Ovis aries: one gene and its partner. The protein of the gene in region 2 interacts with the protein of the main gene of each other region in a pairwise test. Links are inferred from orthologs where the notes say so. Each region holds a gene or a part of one and is shown on either strand. Other genes may lie near its edges.

Evidence for each region. The genes of interacting proteins can lie anywhere in the genome.
Region 1: the proteins of HOMER1 (region 2) and C12H1orf116 interact in binary tests that used the Homo sapiens proteins (3 or more experiments, as listed by UniProt). The link is inferred for Ovis aries from reciprocal best matches to the Homo sapiens genes HOMER1 and C1orf116.

The regions. Positions count from the first base shown.
Region 1 is NC_056065.1:4,645,976-4,653,100, reverse strand, and holds the end of C12H1orf116 (specifically androgen-regulated gene protein), read left to right. Parts: intron 1-63; coding exon 64-241; intron 242-1,395; coding exon 1,396-2,906; 3' UTR 2,907-4,487; downstream 4,488-7,125. UniProt on the Homo sapiens protein: Putative androgen-specific receptor.
Region 2 is NC_056060.1:10,524,837-10,533,360, reverse strand, and holds the start of HOMER1 (homer protein homolog 1), read left to right. Parts: upstream 1-2,604; 5' UTR 2,605-2,746; coding exon 2,747-2,889; intron 2,890-8,524. UniProt on the Homo sapiens protein: Postsynaptic density scaffolding protein. Binds and cross-links cytoplasmic regions of GRM1, GRM5, ITPR1, DNM3, RYR1, RYR2, SHANK1 and SHANK3.

The sequences.
Region 1 (7,125 bases), on a different chromosome or scaffold from region 2:
TTGGGCCCCACCAGTTTCTGGAGAGCTGCCTGTCACAGCTCCCCCGCCCTCTCCTCACTCCAGAGTGACAGCAGCTACGATTTCCTGTCCGCTGAAGAGAAGGAGTGTCTGCTTTTCCTGGAGGAAACCATTGGCTCCCTGGACACTGAGGCTGACAGCGGGCTGTCCACTGACGAGTCTGAGCAAGCCACAACTCCCCGAGGTCCCCGAGCACTGCCCACGACGCAGCCTGCCCCCCAGGGTAAGACAGACTGTCTAAAAAAACAAAAAAATACTACATCTTTCTGGCCGCTTTCCCTCTTGTCTGCCCTCTGCTCTGAGTCATGGGCAGAAGAAGGAATAAGCACTCTCCTCTCTACTTGGGGCTAGAATAAAGCCTTGTCCTTGGAGGGAAGGAGGGATTGTCCAAGACAGCTTCTTGTGTCTTTGTATGAAGTATCAAAGTCTGGGAGGGAAGGGGATTTGACCGGCTCCCACTCTTATGGAGACATTCTAAAGCCATATGACCACCGAGGTGGGAGAGAGAAGCAGTGAGGGGTGGGTGGGTGGCTCTGGAAAACCTGAGTCAGTCTGGGGAGCTAATCTGGGTGACCCAGAGGATGAGGCTGCAGGAGATAAGCAGAGGGAGGGGCTCCCTTAATTTCAGTGGGTGGCACCTTGAGGGCCTTGTAAGAGAGTGTGGAATGACGTTGTGGCTCAGTAGATGGAGACACAGATGGCATGTAAGTGTGGCCATAGATCCCAGGAAGACAGTCCCATTGGTATTAGGACTGCCATCACCTCATACACTTGGGAAATATTTATTGACAATATGTTAGACCCACTGTCTCTGGTGATACAGCAGGCTGATTTCCTGGCCCAGTGGGCCTGGTGCTTATGCTTACTCACTGGAAGGGAAGAGCCCGTATCACTCTGTGGCGCAGGGACAGCTGTGGCCATTACAGAGTCATCCAGGTGTTTACAGGAAGTGGAGGTGGAAGAAGGCAGATGCCTGGTGGGGCGAGAGCAAATCACCTGTTGATGCTGTTCAAGCTCAGTGCTTCCACTGGACTCAGTTACCTGGGAGCCCCAGGACAGCGGGAGGGACTGTCCTGAATCCCAACCATCCTGTATCTGCAGAGGTTAGGAAGAGCCTGAGTCAGGGACACAGAGCTGTCTGGGCTGCCCTTTGCCCAGCCACCAGGAAATGCTAATCCCTGGTTGAAGGAAATCTGCTAGGATTGATCTGTTGTCTAAATGATATCCAGACAAAAGCATTGTCCTTCAAGAACAAACAAGCAGACAAAACCCGTCCATTGCGACCTGGAGATCAGAGTGTGGGAAGTGTTTCCTTTCCCCTTGACAGCAGGGTTCTCACTGCCTACTCTTCTTCACCTGTTCCCCTGACTCTTACAGGACATCCCAAGGAGACAACTGGCCAAGGACCAGAGCCAAAAAGAGTGACTCCGTTCAGCTCAGCTCATCCACCCGGGCCCCAAAGCCTGAGCCTCAGGTCTGGCTCCTATAGCCTCCCCAGAAATATCCACATCGGCAGAAACCAGAACCTCAGAAAAAGCACCACCCCGACTAACAGCCATAATCCAGGGGGATCCGAGGGACTTCTCTCGGCACCTGAGACAGAGCAGGTCAGCCAGAGCCGTGAGCCCAGCCAGGCACTGGCCGCGCCCCCAGACGCTGCCCTTGAGCTGGACGGAGCGCTCATCCCCCCACCGGAGGCTTTCCAGGACATCCAGCCCGAGCAGCGTGGGCAAGGCAGCCTGCCCAGAGGACCAGGGGAGCTGAGCCCCAGGCCCCAGGTCCACCCATCACTTAGCTCCCAGAGAAACAGGAAGCCCGCTCCAGAGGCCATGTCCCAAAAAGCCAGTGAGAAAGGTTCAACCGGGGAACCTGCGCCACCTCGGCCTCTTCCCCTGGTGTCCTCTCAGGATGCAGGCACTGGAGATGCGGCCGTCCTGTCAGGGGGCCATCCAAGTGCCCAGCCGGCCCCCCTCACGGCCCCTAAGCCCCGGAAACTGCCACCAAACATTGTCCTGAAGAGCAGCCGAGGCAGTTTCCACAGTGACCCCCGGAACCGGCTGTCCTGCCACTTGGAGGCTGCACCCGGGGACCCCAGCCCCGCCTCGTCCTCGCTGCAGGAGCAGAGGAAGGCACGCAGGGAAGCGCTGGAGAAGCTGGGGCTGCCGCAGGACCAGGAGGAGCCCAGCCTCCGCTTAAGCAGACCCTCCATTAGGCTCAAGGAGACTGGCACTCAGGCCGAGTCCCCGGCCCCAGCTCAGGTCCCCGGAAGGGCCCCGGCCCCTGCACCCAAGCAGGGCCCTTCTCCCGGGAAAGCACCAGCTCTGGCCCAACCGCCTTCTCCAGGCAAGGTTCTGGTTCCCACCCAGGAACCCACTCCAGGGACAGCGCCAGCTGCCAAATCCATGCCAATTCCTGTCCCAAAGGGCCCGCGGGCACACAGTCCCCTGACTCAGCAAAAGCCAGACTCCGGGCTGACCCTCCAGGAGAGTGGCGTCCCTGGCCTCAGACAGATGAGCTTCAAGTCCAACACCCTGGAGCGGTCAGGCATTGGGCTGAGCAGCTACCTCTCAGCCGAGAAGGCTCCCAGCCCCCAAACCAGCACCTCTCTGGAAAAAGGCTCCTACCTGGACCGGATCTCGCCCAGCATCTTGCGTAATTCCCGGCCACGCCCGGCCTCCTTGGGCACTGGGAAGGACTTTGAGGGTATCCAGGTGGGCAAGCTGGCTGACCTGGAGCAGGAGGGGGCCCCCAAGCGCCTGTCTTACCAGGGGCAGAGCCGAGACAAGCTGCCCCGGCCCCCCTGTGTCAGTGTCAGGATCTCCCCAAAGGGAGTGTCAGATGAACACAGAAGGGAGGCGCTGAAGAAGCTGGGCCTGCTGAAGGAGTAGGCCGCTGGCCACCAGCCCCACCCGCACAGCCCCTCCCCGCACCCCACTGCTCAGGCTGGGACCCAGAGCGTGACTCAGGAGCTGCACGGGGTCAGCTCCTCTCCAGTGGTCTCCTCTCGCTGGGGGAGAGACTGGACCACACATTTATATTCAGAGCACCTGTGCCAATGAAAGTGAAGCCGCTCAGTCATGTCTGACTCTTTGCAACCCCGTGGACTGCACCCCGGAGGAGACTACAGGCTCCTCCGTCCATGGGATTCTCCAGGCAAGAGTACTGGAGTGGGTTACCATTGCCTTCTCCAGGGGATCTTCCTGACCCAGGGATTGAACCTGGGTCTCCTGCATTGCAGTACCTGTGCAAATGGCTGTGTGTGTGTGTGTGTGTGTGTGTGTGTGTGCGCGCGCACGTATTATAGGCTGTATATATCACTGATGCTATTTATATGACACAAGGAGTCATTGCTCAGAATTCTGCTCTGGTTGAAAATTTTCTTATGTCGGGTAGAGTTCAGCCTAGAACTGAGTGGAGAGGCATGGCTGAGCCTGAGAAAAATAGTCAAATGAGACAGTAGATGTACCTGTGACATTAGGCAAATGCAGGGTCACGTGAAATGTGGTGCCCCTAGAATCCCTGCAGTGGATGGAGACTGGCTCAGCCCTTGCTGGAGTCCCCTCTCGCTTCAGGCCTTCTGGACAGGGGCCCACAGCCAAGGAGTCTGTTTGTGGCCCTCTCTCACTGTCCTTAGTCCCAAGGATCAGACACATCCTGACACTCTTGTTGGTCTGTGGAGGCGGGATGAATGTCTGCACATCACACTTCCCCTGGGAAGGGTCTTGTCCTTGGGCTTGTTAAACTCAGTAATAAACTTCGACAGGCCCTGACTCCGAGATCCCTGTTTTTCCTGCTCTGGATCTCCCATCTGCACAGCACTGAAGCCAGGGCTGGGTCAACAGTGAGTTAGGAACTCAAGCCTAGAGACATTGTAAATACCGAGAAACTCTTGAAAGCCTTTGTCTACATGATTGCAAGTTATTTTTTGATTTCCTCAATTCCTATGGAAAATCAGCACATTACATTCTCTGCTAATTATTTATTTATAGACTGTCAGAGCTGGGAGGGCCATAGAGACACTCTAGTCCAATCCTTTTAGGGAAGGGAAGTGGCTCATCATGGTCACTGTGCCATTAGTGACAGAGCTGAGATCAGAGCTGGGCTCCCATTTCCGCCCACACTGCAGACCTCTCCCCTCCCCTTGTCCATCCACACAGCACCCTCAGGACCGGCAGTCACCAGCAGAAGTCTAACCTGAAAGGTCTCTAAGCTCTAAAGTGTATTCTGAAACAGCAGAGATTAAATGTTCAGGATCATATTTAGTATTGTGGCTTCTTCTTTAATTTGGGAAAGTAGCCGTCTAATGACTCATATTAATCCCAAATTCCCTGACCAAGTCGTGCAACTTGCAAATACGCCAGAGGGTACTGTGGGTAGGCGGTGCGGGCTTACGAATACAAGCTTGAAGATCGGACATAGCTGGACATAGCCCCTGCTTCCCCTTAGGAAATAAATACTGTTGAGAGACATGGCCTGGTTGGAGTTCACGATGCCCAAATATGGGGGGCGGATAAAGGGAAGCGGGTTGAAAATGTACGCTGTAGGTCTGCTGAGCATTTCTGGACCATGTCCTTAAGGACCCAACGCATCAAGGCTCAGTGTTTCTGAAAATGCTGAGAGAGTTAAGGTAAGGACAACAAAGGACTGCGCCCTGCTCTGGCATGTCGGGTGTGGGTGCATGTGAGGTGTGGCTGTGACAGTTTCTGTGTACACTCCACACACACAGACACACACCCAAAAGCCTACCACCTTGCTCCTGGCCCTGGGTGAGAACCAGGCCTGTCACAGCCAACGGGGTCTCCCATGACGAGCTCAGTCACGTATTATCTCAGAACCTCCCCACCCCAGCCTTCAAGAAAGAAGGCCTTTCCTGCATGGTCCACCACAATGCATTGGGTTGAACTGCTTCTTAAGATGCAACCTGATGAAAGCTCACTTTATTTTTTATTAATTTCTGTGATAAACAGGGAAGCTTGGGGCTAGCTCTAAAGTATGACTTGGTAGGAACCTGGGGCCCTGGCACCAACACAAGGTTGACTAACATAGGTTGGTCAGGGGCACCTCCTATTAAATCCCACTTCCTGGGGAGGGCAGCTTCACTCCCAGACACAGCAGAGTTACACAGCCTACTCTCCTGTTCTGTATTCTCATCCTGCCCAGTTCCCCAAATCTCCCAGTTTGAGATTCCCCTACTCCCCTCCCTGTGGAGAACCATGCTTTCCCATGTCCTCGGCCTTCAGAGAGAATGTTTTGCTCTAAGGATGGTCTTTGGGATTCAAGGATTGCATAATGATTGGGTGATAAATAATATCCAATAAATAATTGGATAATAAATCCAAAGCCAGTTGTTCTCATTTTGAAGAAAGTTGAGGGGACTCAGAGAGGACATCCACCATCCTGAATTGTATCCATCTTCTTGTTCCAAATAGGATTGCTCTTCATTCAGCTTGAACTGATTGAGGAAGAGCTGGAAGTGGGGTCAGGGTCATTCTTATCCCTTTTTGAAGGATTTTGGGCAGAAGTTTGTAACGGCTATTCATTTGATTTTAAAAGCCACAGTGACAACTTTGTTTCCACGTGGCCTTATTTCTCCGCTATACCCTGCCTGGTGCAGTCTTACCAAAAACAGATCATCTGCCAGACAGAGGAGCTGGCCCCTCCTCAGCCCAGCACAGTGGGGTGGGCCCTCCTCAGCCCAGGACAGTGGGGTGGGCCCTCCTCAGCCCAGCACAGTGGGGTGGGCCCTCCTCAGCCCAGCACAGTGGGGTGGGCCCTCCTCAGCCCAGCACAGTGGGGTGGCCCCTCCTCAGCCCAGCAGAGTGGATTCTGTGCCCTCAGGTGTATTGGCAGCTACCCCTCTGAATCACGGCTCGTGTGCCGCCCGGGCATTCTTCAGGCACACACACTGTCCTACACACAGGCCAAGGGATGGGCCCAGGCAGCTCTCAGATGGCCCCCTCCAGAGTGGAATGTGTGGTCTGGCAGATGCCACCCTGGGGGTGAATGGGTATGCAAAAGTCAGTGTTCATCCCATGGAAGAAGGGCAAGGGAAAGACTGCGTAACAGGCCCAACTTGATGTTATGAGTTAGAGCTGACAGTAAAGATTCAAATATGTGTAAATACGTGAGATGAACCCCTTCATCCTTGGCAGAAGGCAAAGCTGTAGGTTCATAAACTAGAGGAGGAGACCAGGGAGATGCTCAGGAGAAAGCATGACCACCTCAATTAGAATCTAGGGAGGCAGGTAGACACCGTGGCCCCATGATCTCCATGCGAGTGATTCTGGAGCATATACAGCGGGGCTCCATCCACCTCCATCACTTACCAGTCAGGGTACCATGGGGGTGACACTTTAATTTTTGAACATCAGAGCTCTCATCTGCAAGGCAGGAGTAATAATCCTTTCCAGATGGCTGAGATGAACAAACTATATGAAATATCAAAGCTCAGTGCTGGACATAGTGTAGATATCCAATACGTGATAGTAATATCCCTTCTCAAAGGGAGCAAATGTATACAGGGCTGGAAGCCAAGATCTCACGCAGCCCAGCTCTGAAGAAATCAGAGAGATCTTGCTGCAAATAAAAGTCCAAAGAAACAGGTAGGTTTTGGCAGACACTCCAAGTGACTCTTTACCCACACCATGGTTCCCAGAATTTGAAAACAAAGAATCAAGAGTGAATCGGCGTTTCTGTCTTGGTGAAAGCTGAACTAGTTATTTCCAGCTTCTCTATCCCCAAACCCAGCTTCCCATTTATCATCAATCTCTTGTTGTTCATGACCATATAGTTTACTTCTTTATGCTTTCTTCAACTTCCTTTTGCTGTGGTTCAGGGGAAAAATACAAATGCTGCTCTATGTGTGTGTGCGGTATGCTTAGTCAATCAGTTATGTCTGACTCTTGTGACCCCATAGACTATAGCCCGCCAGGCTCCTCTGTCTATGGGATTCTCCAGGCAAGAGTACTGGAGTGGGTTGCCATTTCCTTCTCCAGGGGATCTTCCCAACCCAGGAATTGAACCCCTGGTTGATTGCAGGCACACTCTTTACCAACTGAGCTACGAAGGAAGCCTCGTGCTATTCTCTAGTTATTTGTTGGATTTTTT
Region 2 (8,524 bases):
ACCGCCTTGATTACAGTGATGTGCTCACTGTATCCAATAGCTTATGTGTTTATGCTCCTGACTCTCCTTTAGACTAGAGGCAGAGTCTGGATCTTTATCTTCCACACAGAATAGCTTCTCAAGAAATGTTGGGTGGGAGAAAGACGGAATCGACTCATAGACTATGGATGGCAAACTTCAGCAAATTTGTGGACCACATCCGGCCCATTGTTTGTTTTTTTTAACAGCAATTTTACTGAAACACAGCCACATTTTTTGGTGTATGGATTGTATAAATCACCCATTTGTGTGTATGTGTAAAGTTTTATTGAAACATAGCCAAGCTTACATGTATTGTCTTGTGGTTGCTTTAGTGTTGCTAGGGTGGACTTGAGCACTTGCAAAAGAAACCATATAGTCCCCAGAGCCTCACATGTTTACTATTTGGCCTTTCGCAAACAACAACAGAAAAACCGTGCTGACTCCTGATCTAAAAACCGCCTGAGAGATCTCCTATTGTAGTGTGCCCAGTAGAAAGATAAAGGAAACCACATAGGTAATTTTAAATTTCCTAGTAACTACGTTTTAAACAGGAAAAGAAACAGACAAAAATAATTTTAGTAATACATCTCATTTAATCCCAAATATTAAAAATATTAGTATTCAACATGTCATTAATGTAAAAGTGATATTATGAGATATTTTACATTTTATAGTACTAAGTCTTTGAAATTATACAGATATTTTATACTTACAGATAATTTTAATTTGAACTTGTGCTCAGTAACCACATCTGTAAATAATGACTATCTTACTGGACCAAATCCATCAGTTTATAGTTGAAGAAATTGGTCCAGAGAAGTTACTAGTTTAAAGTCACGTAGTGGAAGAATCAGCTAACCCCCAGCTCTCCTTGTTCCTAGGCAGGTGGTCCTTCTGCACCATATTGCTTTCAGTCTTGTTGTTTGTTTACTAGAAGAGCTATGATAAGATGATCTCGTTCCTAATTTGGTACAAGCTTTAATAAGTCGTGTGACTATAGGATAGTTCTTAACTTCCCAGGGTTTTCATTTCCTCATCTCTAAAAGCCTTGGACGGAGTGATCTTTTAAGCTCTAATTTTACGTGATCGTCAAACATGTGGGTCTGAAAATCAGAATACACTGCAGTCATTTTGCCCAAGAATTCTGTTTCTAAGAAGCTGTACCCAGCTATGAACTCAAGACCATGTAGGTTGTCACTGTAACTTAAAGTCTTTAGAGGCCAGGATTTTAGATAATTCATCCATACAAATTTACCTGTCAGTAACGAGAAACAAGCCTAAAGCCTGATACACTTGACACAGAGTCCCTCACAACAATGTTATGTTCTCAGGAAATTTTGGAGATGAGCCAAGAAGGCTGTTGCTGAGCATTGAAAAATCGAAGAAGGGACTGGTGTTAAGGCCCATCTGGGGTGGCAGGAAGATTGCCTTTCTCTGCTAACCAGCACCAGAGTCTGTCACCAGTGACAGGAGGGAAGGGCAGTAAGGAATCTGGTATAAAACACACGAGAAATTAGAGACTTGTGATCATGATTAGAAAATCAAATATTATTTTGCAATACCAAACTTTATAACAGAATCAACAGTATTAAATTTGCACTCCAAATCAGAAAAGAAACAAAACAGTGTAGGAGAAAGCTTTAGAAATGGAAGCAGACAGGAACCAAAGAGAAATAGATCTTTTTTTATACGTTTGCCTAAAACCAGTGGTGTTTGCTTTTAAACTTACTCACATCTTGTCCTTCGCTCACAATAGAAAAATCTTTCTTTCCTTCCAGAGATTGGAGAAGATTGCAGTAAAGGGCAAAATGTATGTGTGTCCTCTGGGATTAGACAGTGGAGACGATTGTAGTAGAGGGCAAAAGGTATGTGTGTCCTTTCGGGTTAGATCCTCCATTCAAAAATGACGGGACCTTAAAAATTATATGGCCTTCGCAACAAGTTTGTGCCTTAATTTCCTCCTCTGTAAAATAGGTATAACAATGGTGCTTTTTACGTGGGACTGAAGACTAAATGAGGCAATATGGAAAAAGGTTTTAGCAAAATGAGTATCATATATCAAGTGCTCAGTTAATCTTAGCTACTATTCTCATTCTGACAATAGCATTCAAGAAGCAGAAAGGAGCTACCAGTGTGCTATGCTACGCCTGCAAGTGGCTGTTGGTGACTCCTGGCTGCTCTGCCACGTTTCTCTCACACACACACATGTATAGGCTGCGCCGGGTATTCGTTGCTACCTGTGGCTTCCTCTAGTTGCAGGGAGTAGGGGCTACTCTTTGTCTTGCTGTGGAGTAAGGACTCTAGAGGGTGCAGGCTCAGTAGCTGCAAGACACCGGCTTCTCTAACTGCCTGAAGCAGGCTTAGTTGCCCCGTGGCTTGTGGGATCTTAGTTCCCCAATCAGGGATCGAACTTCGTCCCCTGCATCGGAAGGCCAATTCTTAACTATTAGACCACCGGGGAAGTCCCTTGTCCGTATTAAATTGTGTGCAGAGATAATGATGTAGTCTGGCAGTCCCACTGAGGTCTGTGTTATTAATGTGTCAAGGTCAGTGACAGGGCAGGACACAGTGCCCGGAAATCTCACTGGGCATTTTGCTTTCGTTACCTGCTAGGTACTCTTGCCTGGAAACTCCCATGGTCGGGGGGGAGCCTGCTGGGCTGCAGTCCATGGGGTTGCACAGAGTCAGACATGACTGAGCGACTTCACTTTCACTTTTCACTTTCATGCATTGGAGAAAGAAATGGCGACCCACTCCAGTGTTCTTGCCTGGAGAATCCCAGGGACGGGGAAGGGCTGCCGTCTATGGGATCGCACAGAGTCGAACACGACTGAAGCGACTTAGCAGCAGCAGCAGCAGCAGCAGCAGGTAAGTTTGTCAGAATTCTAATGCTGAGTTTTGCTTCTTTATGGCAGAGTTTCATTTTGATATGCTTGTGCTTTATTAGCTGACTTTAGAACGGTTTGGTTAATCTTCCTTCTCTCTGGTGGGAGGAAAATATATATATGGTGTGTGTGTGTGAGAGTTTAAGTGGCTTCAGGCTTACTTCCCATATTGGGAAACTTGCCCTCAGTACCAAGAGAGTCTATGAAACAGTCCTTCAGCATTTGTGCAGCAAGCAGAAAAGAGGTGGATTCCCTTCCCAGCTGACTCATTGATCATGGTTTCTGCTGAATGGATTCAACTCAACAAATTTGGAATCACTGGTCAGAGACCAAGGTGAAAGTCCTGGGTGTTCTTTCCTGGGACTTTTATCAAGGAAAATTCAGCCCCTTAGATAGAATAGCAGGTTGGTTTTGAACCAGTCATCAGCGACAGTAATTATCATCCCTGTTTTACTAAACTGAGGGGTCATGAGGTTAAGTAACTTCCCACACACACGTTACTCACACAGCAAGTCAAAGGCAGAGCCTGAGATCAAACTTTGGCAGTCTGGCACCTGAGTCTGTGCCTTTATTTCCCTCTTCCACCTGTCTGCAAGTTAGGAGGTGCCTTTTTATTTTGACCAACTTTTTCGATAGAACTTTCAAATATGCAGATTTAAAAGTCTCTTTTGTTGAATCAAAATGACTTACAATAATTGATTTTAATGCTAAGGTGATTTGTACTCGTAAAAATTTTTTGATTTATTATTAGTTCCTTCAAAATTATTATAGAATTATAATATATTTTATTTCGTGACTGAACAATGAGACAGATGGTAGGAGGCACCCTTTTCCGCCCCTTATCTTCCCGTTGTGCTCCTAGTCATCCCTAAAAACCCAGGCGTCCACTACTTCCTCTGCTACTCCTGCAACAATACAGGCACTCATAACTGCACTCATCACTCTGCGTTGCGATTATTTGAGTATCTTTTATGACCCCTGCTCAGCAGGACAGGATCGATATTTTTCTTCATGTGAGCACTTGTGTAATAAAGTCAACAAAGAACAAATGTTCACTGAACTGTATTTGAGGAAAACATTTCAATAGCTTTCTTTTATGTGAAGTGCCTTTTTTGGCTGATCAGGAAATTTTAATATGAGGGAAATTTCTGGAATTACATGAACACTAATTTTCTTATAAAATTTCTCTTGTTTGAAACACCGAGTGTGAAAAAATGTAGAGTAACTTACCTGCGTTTATTCTAAAGAACTGTAGTCTTTGCATCATGGCATATTTGTAACCCATTCTTCGAACACTAATAACCTTGTGGCTATTCATGCTTATTTACTGTTCACTCTAAAATCTTTTTGACTCAAAGTTTTTAAGAGTTACATGGGATCAACTCGAAATCAACAAATGTATCCTTGCTTTTTTATTTTGCTTTCTACACACTGTCATCCCTCATTATAATTCTATGAAGTGAATGTCACTGTACACAGTATAAAATGTTTTGCATATATGTAAACACCAGAACCTAGGAGTGCTGTGTCGTAGCACAATTATACAAGTAGAAGCAAATACATTTATGCAACATAATGTAAACAGTTCACTGTTTTTTTGCAAGAATAAAAGCAAAATAATTATGTTGAATAGTCTTTAATTAAAATTAGTTGAAAACAAGTATAGCTCTATTATATTATGTTGTAACTCACCTAGCAGTCAATTTCTTCAGCTTTTCAAATCCACCAATGTATGTAATTTTAGCTGTTAAAAGTGTTACTTATTTAGCTTGAATTAAAGCAAAACTTAAGCTTATGCTATCTATTGACTGGTTTCTTAAGTAACTGTATTTTAAATTAAAGTTTGAAGTTTATTTATGCCATTCTCAAATGATTAGATGTGATTTCATATGTTTAAATTATAAACATATTGGTGTTTACAATATTCTTTATTATAAGCAGTATGGATCCTGGATCTCAGATTTCCTAGGAGGCTTCTAGGAACTTGTGGTAAATACTTACTAGAGGATATGAGCTTTCATTTTCTATTTTAATCTTTATTCTTTTAGAAAGAGATATTATTTAATTCTCCTATATTTACATTTTCATATGATATTGCAGAAGAGACAGTGAATTTATGGAACCTAACTTCCAAATTCCAAAAGACATTTTATATTGTGAATCTTTGCCTATAATGAAAGTCTATTGAACCAGCTGAAGCAGTCACAGGATACCGAAAGAACAATTTCCTCTCTTATACTACATTTATAACTAGTTTTGAAGATTTCAAAGAGACAATCTAGAACCAAACTATTTTTGCAAATAGTCTTGAAGAAATTTTTCTCTCATGTGCATGCTTTCATGTGTAAAAGGAAACCATAACTTTTGTGAAATCATCTTGCTTTTCAAATGTATGTTTGTGTTTAAGTGTGTGGCTTGCCCAGTTTAAAAACCACAAGGGGAAAATTATTTAATGGCGTGCAACCACACAGACTTCACAGACTGAGATTTTCTTGTTTTGTGTGTCTGCATGAGATTTGTTTTGCATACTGCTAAATATCCAGAAAAATTTTAATAGCAATTATGGTTTTCTCTATATTCAGCCATCATCCAGGCATTTTAACAGGTGTGGGAATGGACAAACGAAGGAAATGTAATCTTTCATCTCTGAAGTGCCTGAATCTTTCAAATGCCTCCCCTGGCAAGCAGTTCACACTCTTGGTGCTTTGCTCCAGCAAACAGCAAAGCTAACTTTGGTCACTACCAGCGCTTCCTTTTGTGCAAGTCCAAGTTGACCCTGTTCGACTTATGTTCCAGCCATTTGTGCCGGTTTCTCTCTGGGGCTTAGAGTGCATTCAACAGACATGCGGGCCTTTGATTTATTGGTCACAAACAAAACCTAAAACTCTTCCAAGAGGATAAAACTCATCTTTGTTTCAGCTTATGTTAGCAGGAAAAGATGTTTTAGACTGATGGAGACTTTGGAGCTTATTTTGAACTTACTGCCTGGTGCCTTCAAGCAGTGGGATCAATATTTTGAGACTTTTTTTTCGAAGCCCCATAATTCCGAATTGGTCTCAACAAGTGGAATTAAACTCTATTTGGCGTTAGCAATTCAAACCTTCAATATTTCTTTCAATATATGATTCAAAGTCAATCATACCTGCTCATCAATGTATTTAGGTTTTGTTTGATGCACAGGCGTTTCAGTCATTTGTAAAAGCCTTGACTGCTTATGCTCAGGAAAAGAGAGTAAGCTCATTATAAAAAGAAGTCCAAACGTTATGACATTGTTTGTAGAAAGTCAAGCTCTTGGACTATGGAGAGCCATTATTAACAGAGGAGTAGCAGGTATTCCGCCAGAATGGTTTCCTGTTTACTAGCATGTATTATGGTACAGAGACTTTTCCCCGGTAATCCCTTGACAATTATATAGCTCTTGAAACATACTAAGCATACAATACGCACTGCTTTGCACATTATGTTTCTTATTAATAGCTCCTGGATATCTTTCCATGTTAGTACTTACAAAGTCTACTTCATTCTTTTCTTCGGCATTCCACGATACGAATGTCCGGCAACTCACTCAAACAAATCCATAATGATGGACACAGGGGTTTCCAGCTTGGTTTTGTTTGTTTGGTTATTTTGCCACACCAGTGTCGCAGTGAATATCCTTTTAAACATATCTGTATACATTCAGAACACAGTATTTTAAGGCATTACAAAGAGATAAATAATTTTATTTTCATGCATGTATTTCATTCTGGTGGGCACTTCAGATTACTGTTATCAGTATACCAAACTTGTAATAAATAACATTTCAAAAATGTAATTCAGTATATTTAGTTCCAAAGAATAAGCATATTTTCTAAAATTTGAAAATATTGACCTATGAGTGACCTTCCAATACATTCTTTTATGTTTCATTGAATTATCATTCAATAATAATAATAATAATGTTCAATAATAATAATGTTTTCTTGAGCATTTTATAACTTCATTACAAACCACCTTCACATGATTATCTCATCTGATTTCACATCAATGTGATGTGCGCAGCACAGGTTTATAGGAGGAAATGGTGCAGACCTGGAATTTTTCACTGCCTGAAATAGTCATATAGTGTCAGTCCTTTGTTCTGGTAGCTCAAGGAATCAAGGCCACTGTCATTATAAGTTATATCATAGTGTTAGTCACTCAGTCATGTCTGACTCTTTGCAATCCCATGGACTGCAATTCCACCAGGCTCCTCTGTCCACGGGATTCTCCAGGCAAGAATACTGGAGTGGGTTGCCAAGATCCAGGGGATCTTCCTGACCCAGGGAAGGAACACAGGTGTCCTGCATTGCAGGCAGATTCTTTCCCATCTGAGCCACCAGGAAATACTGTTACCTTAATGTGAAAAAATACTTACGTATCACTTCAATAACTGGTGTTGCTAATTTACCATCGAGTGTTCAGGCATTTTTATTTAATTGTCTGATATTCAGAGATTAGACTCACCAGGCGTTGATTAGCGAAGTGCTCCAATAATTGCTACTCCAAAACCAAGAATTTAAAAGACATTTATGCAGCCGTTGTTAAAGATGGATGAGTCTCAGTGCTGCTGCACCTCATTTGAAATTGGGAGAGCTGAGAGTAAAGGGAGAAAAGGGAAGCCTGCAGAATGCAGCAGCAATCAGACAGTGTTACTGAAACTTGGAAATTCTATTCTCCACTGATTCTCACTTCTGTATGTTTACGACCCTTCCTTTATCCAGTATCTGTCAGGATGGGCTGGCAGTAAATGGTGGCACTTTTCTGGTTTCCCACACTCCTCGGGGAGCAGGCTCCTCTGCAGGGAAAGGAAGTCATTGCTATGTTGCCTCCAGCTTTGGGAAAGGAAGCAATCTTGAATGGCTATTGTTGCATTAGCTACAAATGTATGTGGCCTCATTAGTGGATCTATCCCCACCCTTAACGTAGCTGAGAATGTACTTGTGAACTTCCTCTCTTCCTACATCTACTTAACATGAGCAGGACCTCAAAAGCGGCTTCCAGGTCTGCAGTCTCAGGAGATCGTGTCCACTCCAACCCCTGATTGTTGAAAATGATAGCATTTCTAACCAACTATGATTCTATAGACTGGCTGCTGGGATGAGCACATACATACTACTGTATGGAGAACAGATAATCATACATCTGGGTGTAGCACAGGGAACTCTACCCAATACTCTGTAATAACCTATATGAGAAAGGAATCTGAAAGAGAATAGATATGTGTATAACAATCATTTCACTGTACAGCAGAAACTAACACACTGTTGTGAATCAACTATATTTCAATAAAGATTTTTTTAAAAATCACACTGCTGATAATGCTTTGAAATTCTACTGCTCTGTTCCCATCAGCATGATGTCCAACATTACTTTGTCCTTCTCAAAGTATACTTGACTGTCAAGTCAGGATGGTTTTTTGTTCATTGTCCCATGTGTAATACCTAGTTCATTTCCACTGTTCTGCCCAACCTTATGTTTTTCTCTTCTCTCCTACAAGTCTTTCTCCTCTCTTGCATAACTGAATTCTAACTGAATTTGAAAACAAGCCCCTACGTTCTGATAAATCCTTTCCTGCTATAAGAGAACCCACTGATGTC